Daphnia pulex: one gene and its partner. The protein of the gene in region 1 purifies or fractionates together with the protein of each later gene. This does not show direct contact. Links are inferred from orthologs where the notes say so. Each region holds a gene or a part of one and is shown in the gene's direction. Other genes may lie near its edges.

Region 1 (4,163 bases):
ACAGTACCATTTCTTTTAAAATAATCCGTACAATATTAATAATTTTATGAATAGTTTTTTTTTTTTTCATTTATATCGATCTGTGTTCCATTTGTAATTTTGGCGTGAATGTGTCAAGAGATCTAACCGCAAGTCGGGACGGTCGTTGTCGTTGTTAAACAATTTGAATTGTAGATTAATTCAAAGTAAAATTTTAGAGGAGAAACGAAACATGTACTTGCATTGAAAGTGAACCTTGCCGAGGGTCTATTATTGACTGTACATTTTGTTTGGCAGTGCAGTGATTCGCCCGATTTTGTTTACTTTTGATTCTTGTTATCTAACTGCATTCTGAACATTCCCGATGCACCTGTCTGCCAGCCACACAACGACACCGATCATTCCAAAATATTTGATAGGCATAAATGTTGTTGTTGATTGTGCTTCGAATTTCTTTCCCCAATTTTTGTTTCGTTCAATCGTACATTTCCCATGTGTGCCGTAGTCGTGATGTGTTTTGTATATGATTCCCTGAGAGAGAGATAAAATTGCGTGTGTATTTAAGACAAGCAAATAAGCGTTCCACACCATTCCACCACGCTGTTGATGACCCCCTTTTTTTCTTTCACAATGTGGAACTCGGCTATTGTTTTCTGATGGATTTTTTGTTTCCGCCTTCATTTCTACAAGCGCTGCTGTCATTCCATTTTCTTTATCTGCGTGAGACTTTATCGTCATGCCTTGTTCTCTACACTTGTTCATTTCCCTTGTTTTCGTAATCGAAATACCTGTTTCACTTCATCGTCCATTTTCTCTAGCAACTTCCTTCACTTTCTTCGTCTCCAGCTAATGCAGCTCGTCTTATTTTGATTGTGGTCAAATGTGTAGCATTTTATTGGGATCGGCTCTGCTGGCCAGCAAAGTGCTTCTGCTCCAATGATTCGTTCTGTTTGTCTTTTTTTTTCAAGCATTTGAGCATTACAAAGTGTTTGCTCCCATAACAATCAAACTCAACGACTTTCATTATTTTTTTTGTTTAATTCACGGAACAAACAATTTGTTTGAATCAGCGGGTTGGTAAGAAATTAGTCGGTTGGATTATTATTTAAAATTACTAGCTGTTATAAAATCACGATTTAAAAATGTTTTTAAAGAATTAGATAGCACAGTTAAATTTACCCCCAAATTTAAAAGTTTTATAATTGCAACGTTGTCTAGTCAGAAAGATAAAACAGTTCAATCCATATGGAATTATTGATTACGATTTAGAACACGGAACAAAGGTGTAGAATAGCAAGCATGAAATCCTCACAAGATTTTAAACTAATCTCTCTCATTTCAACTTCAATCAAATGTATTTACTTAGTTCATGAGTCATGACACTTGCGAAAAACACAATTTTTCTTCCCTAGAGGGTGTTATCGTCCGTTTCCCGCCAACGTGTTGTGCACTGTCGCCCCCTTTAGTCTGATGGAAAATCGAAACGTCTGCTGAATCCACTTCTCCTAGACTCATACACCCACAGATTAGTTGTCAGTTCAGTTGTCACGCACCGGCGTGTTCCATTCAACGGTTTTTCCCCCATTTAATCTTTGGTAGCGTTTCACTTCTAAATTCTAATACGTAAAAATAAAATGGCAGAAATTCCAACCACCACGAATGGGATATCTTCTGAAACTGCCAGTGCTAGCGGCCCTGTAGAATCTTCTTCTAAAAAAGAGTATGTAACTACGTCTTTATATTTGCTAACACGTGACAAGGGAAGATTCATCTTTGCCGATTTTATGCAGGCAAGTTACCGAGATTGCCATGAATCTCTTAGTGCAAGGTCGCCGACATCTTCTCGTGTCAGACATTCCATCTGCCATTGCTGCTTTGGCTGAATCAGTTCAGTTGCTTGCCGAACAGTATGGAGAGTTTGCTGATGAGTGTGCCGAGTCCTACTACTATTATGGCATGGCTCTTCTTGAGATGGCTCGCACTGACTGTGATGTGCTGGGAGATGCTGTTGAAGGAGGTGATTTATTGTATTTCATTTACATATTTCTCGTACTTATACTTTGTACCCTGCTCATAGGTGACAGAACTGAAGGGGAAGAAGGAGAGTCGGAGGATGAAGAAAATGGTGATGATGAAGAAGAAAGCGAGGAAGAAGAGGATTCTGGTGAAAAGTCCATGAATGGTGATGTTGAGACAAATGACAAAACTGATAAACCAGATGATTCTGAAGTTAAAGAGAAGACTAAAGTTGCTGATGTAAAATCTACCACTGAAACTGCTCAATCTAAACCTGAAACTGCCAAACCTGCTGCTTCTGAAGCAGCAAATGTGGCTAAAGCACCAGATGTTGAAATGAAGGAAAGCGAACCTTCATCAGAACACACAAATGGACAAAACTCAGAGTCCAAAGCTGAGGAAAAAACTGATACTGCTCAAAATGGAGAAAAATCTGTCGCCAAACCTAAGAATGAAGCAAAGGGCAAATCTTTGAAAGCTGCTGGCAGTTCTTCAGGAGAGAAAGTTGATTCTGTTGCGGATGATGATGTTGATGTCAACACAGATGAAGTACCTAACCTTCAGTTGGCTTGGGAAGTGTTCGAAATAGCAAAAAATATATATCAAAGGTAATTTTCTTTTTCTTTTTTTTTTTTTTACTAAAAGCTTTTCACTTATTATCTTATTTTTTATTTATCCAGGAAAGCCGAAACAGATCCTGCGGCCAAGCCAAAACTTGCCGACGCTCTTATTCGATTGGCTGAAGTAGCAATTGAATCAGAAAACTATACTTCAGCTATAGAAGATTTGCAAAAATGTCTCGAGATTCAAAAAGCTTCGTTCCCAGCAGATAGCAGGTTTTAAATTTTTAATCTATTGGGCAAACTCTCCCTTTACATATTTATTATTCCTCTAGATCATTGGCTGAAACGCACTATCAACTTGGTGTTGCGTTCACTTTTACTACCGAATTCAAAGAAGCGGTTCGTAGCTTTGAATCAGCTGCCAGTGTCATTCAGTTGAGAATTGACAACCTCAAGTAAGTTAGTCTAATTTGATTTTTCATGTAATTGCCATTTTTAATATGAAGTTTGACATCTCAGGAATCCTTCTGAAAAGAAACCTTCTATGGAGGAGCCCAAGAATTTGTTTCACACCATTGAGGGGGAGATTGAGGAGCTGGAAACTCTGCTACCTGATATTCGTGACAAAATTGGCGACACCATCGATTTAGAAAAGGAGGCAATCCGGAAGTTGGCTGAAAACGGCAACAATGGAGCAGGCACTTCCAGCAGTGCTGATGGGGCGAATGGTAGCATGGAAACTGATGTGGCTATGCTGTCTGGAGAATCTCCAAATTCAGGAAAACCAGCCACGGATATTACACACTTGATCCGAAAGAAGAGGAAGCCAGATGATAACGTAGGAAGTGAGTCGTCAGTAGCCAAGAAAATCTGCCCAGATGGTGCAGTTGTTGCCGATGCTACTTCTGTTTGATGGGAGAAAAGATGATTGCGTACATTTTCCCCTGTGCTCTTGTCTCAACTCGGTTTTTTTAACTTTCGCTAATATTCATCGTAATCGATAATACAACTTACATGTTTTCTGTAGTATTTATCACACACAAGGTCCAATGTAAGTCTATGTAAGCTGTAACCATGCGTTCTACGAAGAAATGTGTCAAAATAATTCTAATTTCGTACAATTATTTCTTTGCTTGGATACTGATATTTTTCAATCATTTCCATTACTTTACTATGTGATCAAAAAAAGCAAGCGAGTTTAAATTATTTGGGCTCATTTGGAGAGCCATAGCATTGGCCTAGGCTATGGAGACCAAGTTGGGACCGGATCGGGTGAAATAGGGGCTCCTTATCTCTTGCCAAAAGATTTACACTTGGAACAATGAGAGAAAATGCCAGAAAACCACAGAAAGAATTTGCGTTATAACGACACAACAAATAAAAGTAAGAGTTACTTAACAAAATCGCATTTTAGTTTAAAAATCAGGCTTTATACCACTAACGCAGACTAAAACGTAAACATTAAGTCAGAATAGTGAACTACGTAATCAAGTGACAAATAACGAACCGCGAAGTGAATTTCTACCGTAGTATTCAATTCGAATTGCGGCTTACGTCGTGATTTCATTTAGGAGTCGTTAGTCAAAGATTCATTTACAGTTTTAG
Region 2 (3,982 bases), on another chromosome or scaffold:
CAAAATTAAAAAATTGCGCCAAAAAACCATAGTTTCTTCATACTGAAGTGATATATATCTGGAGCTCCATGGAAATAGGAGCCGATTCCGTGCCCTGTAAACGCCGGAACAACTCGGAAGCCATGTTTTCGGGCACAAGCGTCAATGACTGCGCCTTTAATAGTTGGACAGAATGGTTAACAACAATGTTCTGTCATCAGCGCAAGAGCAAAAAAACAAACAGACTTTCAATGATGTTGATTACCGATATTGTTATATGGTCTCCCCGGATGACATATTGCCACAGCTTCATCTAGGCATATTTTGGTGACATCCACTAATTCCTTTCCTTGTTCATCGACATCACCAACTAGGAAAGTCTCTGAAACGTCGCCGTGGAAACCGTTTAGATACACCTATGGTACGAATTTCAATAAGTCTTCATTATTCGTATCAAATTGACGGAAAAAAAACACAAAAAAAACAATTTACAACTCACAGTGACATCCACATTTATAATATCTCCATCAATTAAAGGTCTGTCATCAGGTATACCTAAGTTGGAAAATGCACAATAAGTAAAGCTCAAGCATATAATAGATATTAATTCCAAAATAGTACAAACCATGACACACAACATTGTTTACAGAGGTGCAAACAGACTTTGGAAATCCCTTATAATGTAGAGGTGATGGGTAAGCTCCGTGAGAGATAATAAACTCATACACACATTTGTCAATTTCCTCAGTTGTAGTTCCAACCTGTAAATCCAAACATACTGTTTAGATATATTTCTGTTTCAATCATGCCATGTTACCAATTCGGCAATTCCTAATACATTCTTTTACCTTAACCAGCTCTTTTGCGTACCTCAGGGTATTTTTTGCAAGGCTACAGGATGCCCTCATGCATTCTATCTGTGTGCTGGATTTGATCTCTGGTTGAGCAGAACTAGGGAATGTGCCATTTACATCATTTATGTACGGTGGCTTCACAATATTTGATGGAACACATCTTGGCTCCAGAACTACATGGCCTGGTTTCTTTATAACTTGGTAATTTCCGAAATTTTGATTTTTCCTGTTAAAAATGTTTAGTTATTTCTATATATTTATCAGGTTTTAATGAGATAGCAAAAATACTTAAACCAGGAGATATTTCTTATATTCCGTTTTATTTGCATTAGGTTTTGTGACGATGAGAGTGTGCTACCAAGTGAAGTAGCCCATAGTCTTTTAAATAGCATATCTGTCAAAATCTTATTTAAGTAAGAAAGTGTTTAGGCTAGTATTTGAATAATTTGTTAATTTTGTTCTATAAAATCGAATTTGACTGAGTGTTAAGCAGAAGAAAACTCAGGCTTTGTTGACATTTCACAAAAGATTTTTGTCTGCTACATATAACGCGGGAAAAAGAGCTATCGCCATCTACTGTGTGCAATTATCACTATCATTGCATTAGGGTTTCTGCAACCTCCTTCTTCTTTTAAGTTGTTTGGGCTAGAGAACATGGATCTCCAAATCGGTTGCCCAATCCCTCCAACAACCTTTTTCGCGGTCAGTAGTGATTCAGTAGTGATTCAGTTCGTCAGAAGTTTTTGCATGCCGCCCGCCTGTGCATTTTAGAAAGTAGCAAATTATTATTAGCACTTGTTAAGTCATAGTGCAGCTTAATTTATATTAACTATTCATATTGAAATGGAAGGTAATGCATTTCATAGGAATTTGTTTTAGAATATTACAAAACAACTTCCAACATAATTCATTACACCAAAATGCTTGCTAACTTTTCTTTTTACGTTGCTAGGTTCTTACAAAAAAAATGTACTTCAGTCATTCATCATCGATTCGAACGAAGCTCTAGATTTTAAGTTAGGTAAGGAATTTAATTTATTGCTAAAGCTTTTACTGAATCATGCAATTTTTTTAATTTATACAGTTCGAGAACCTTCTGATGTTGATAATGATGAAACTACCTTCAAACCAGAAATGTCTCATCAAATTTTTGGAGAAAAGTATGTCCAAGTAAAAACATTGAGAATCATTTAATCAATTATAAATTATTTTGTTTCCCCAAGTGAAAGCATATTTGGTTACCAGAACCTCAAAATTAGCTTGTACTACACTGCAGGAAAACTAAACACATACCTTGGAATGAATTACAGTAAAAAAGTTGATCCCAAGCAATTTGAAGGAGCTACAGTGAGTCCCCTTTTTATTTGAATTGTGTGATGTATTTGAACTACTTTACATTATTAGGCTGATGATGTAATGGGAGCCATCACTCCTAAACTTCCACCTGGTTACATGACTAACCTTGATGACTTTCTCGTAACCCTAAACAAAGAACAAAGCTTCAAACCTCCTGGTGAACTTCTTTCAACATACTCTATAAACAAAGGTACTAATACTACAGATTACAAAGGTTCACAGATTTTGTAGATGCTTTGAGTCATCACAATCCCATTTCCAGGTTCGGCCGCAGAAAAGAATTTTGAATTGTACAGTTGTACGATAGAAGAACCTAGTTTTCGATCATACCACGAGCGATTGCAAACTTTCCTCTTGTGGTATGTGGATGCAGCTAGCTTTATCGACGTTGATGATGACCGCTGGCGCTTTTACTTAATGTAATAACTTTTAGATATTCATCTAATCCGATGTTTTTCATTTGAGACTGTATCTTCTGCAGATTCGAAAAATATCCTTGTGATGGAAGTCATCGATATGCTCTGTGTGGATATGCCACAGTTTACCTTTATTTTGCTTATCCTAATAAAACTCGGCCTCGCATCAGCCAGTTCTTAGTTTTGCCACCTTTTCAACGCGTAGGTCTTGGAGCAGAACTTCTAAACACCATTTATCGTTCATTTCTTAAGGATTCCAACATACTTGACATCACAGGTATGTATCAGTGTTAACAGATGTTTGGAGAATTGTTACTCATGCTTTGTGTCTATTTTTTAACAGTTGAAGATCCTTCGGAAGAATTCACTCGTCTTCGTGATTTTGTCGACGCTCAAAATAGCAAAAAACTATCGTCTTATTCTAAAGAAAAACTTCAACAAGGATTTAATGCTGAGATGGTGGAAGATGCTCAACGAGAGCTTAAAATCAACAAAGTAATATTAATAACTTGGTTTCACAACTGACTCTAAAATTGTTATGCTCCAATTGTATTCAGAAACAAGCAAGGCGTGTTTATGAAATCCTTCGTTTCGAGGCAACCAACCTAGCGGATGTCGAAGAATATCGTGCCTATCGCTTAGACGTAAAGCGTCGCTTGAATATTCCCTATCAGGTGGGTCCGAGCTTGTTCGATTAATCAAATTATACCCAATATAATTTACTTTTCCATTACAGAAAGAAGCATCAGATTACAAGAAATTACAAAAGGCCCTCAATGCAGAGGAACTTCGCTCTACCCTATCTACTTCAACTAAGGAACAACGGATTGAAAACCTGGACAAGCAATATCAAATGCTAGAAAATGAGTACAGGTAAAATTCCTACTAAGCTGGGAAAACATGTTTGGATTGTCATTTGTCATTGATCTGCTTCAATAGTAAACACTTACTGCACGTGGCACATCAAATCAGGTTACTGCGCCCTATAATTTTGCTTTCATAATACATTTTAGTCGCTAAAATTTGACAGTAGCCTTATCTTGAGTCGAAGTGGCCTTGGATTGATATTTAAAAAAAAGCAACTGATCGTCTGGTTGTGTGTGGTTAATATAATCCCTAATGCGTCATTTCTTATTGATGTAACTCATTTACTGTTAAGTAATGTTTCTTTTGCTTATGTATTCACGTACAAAATATTCTGTGAACTATAATTATTAAATGCGTTTGATTCGAATCATCATGAACATGAAGTCATGATTAAAGCAGTCTCTTCGGTATTACTTTTTGAACAGAGCGCCATTACCCATTATTATTTCATCAGACACCTAGTGGAGAAATCATGTACTGTTTCCTGTGCCAACTACCATATTGGATATT

What was found. Proteins that work in one complex are often made in the same cells at the same time.
Region 2: the proteins of histone-binding protein N1/N2-like (region 1) and histone acetyltransferase type B catalytic subunit-like purify together in Homo sapiens (affinity purification with mass spectrometry; 3 studies listed by BioGRID and IntAct, with this or other methods). This does not show direct contact. The link is inferred for Daphnia pulex from reciprocal best matches to the Homo sapiens genes NASP and HAT1.

The regions. Positions count from the first base shown.
Region 1 is NC_060017.1:1,803,476-1,807,638, forward strand, and holds histone-binding protein N1/N2-like, read left to right. Parts: upstream 1-1,424; 5' UTR 1,425-1,613; coding exon 1,614-1,699; intron 1,700-1,769; coding exon 1,770-1,996; intron 1,997-2,056; coding exon 2,057-2,603; intron 2,604-2,675; coding exon 2,676-2,831; intron 2,832-2,890; coding exon 2,891-3,013; intron 3,014-3,077; coding exon 3,078-3,471; 3' UTR 3,472-3,663; downstream 3,664-4,163. UniProt on the Homo sapiens protein: Component of the histone chaperone network. Binds and stabilizes histone H3-H4 not bound to chromatin to maintain a soluble reservoir and modulate degradation by chaperone-mediated autophagy.
Region 2 is NC_060025.1:914,212-918,193, forward strand, and holds histone acetyltransferase type B catalytic subunit-like, read left to right. Parts: upstream 1-1,463; 5' UTR 1,464-1,676; coding exon 1,677-1,683; intron 1,684-1,785; coding exon 1,786-1,854; intron 1,855-1,917; coding exon 1,918-1,993; intron 1,994-2,056; coding exon 2,057-2,180; intron 2,181-2,237; coding exon 2,238-2,379; intron 2,380-2,451; coding exon 2,452-2,608; intron 2,609-2,670; coding exon 2,671-2,882; intron 2,883-2,948; coding exon 2,949-3,100; intron 3,101-3,162; coding exon 3,163-3,279; intron 3,280-3,341; coding exon 3,342-3,482; downstream 3,483-3,982. Other genes in the region: methionine aminopeptidase 1D, chloroplastic/mitochondrial-like, read right to left, coding at 44-154, 245-395, 479-534, 605-740, 828-1,059, 1,122-1,225. UniProt on the Homo sapiens protein: Histone acetyltransferase that plays a role in different biological processes including cell cycle progression, glucose metabolism, histone production or DNA damage repair. Coordinates histone production and acetylation via H4 promoter binding.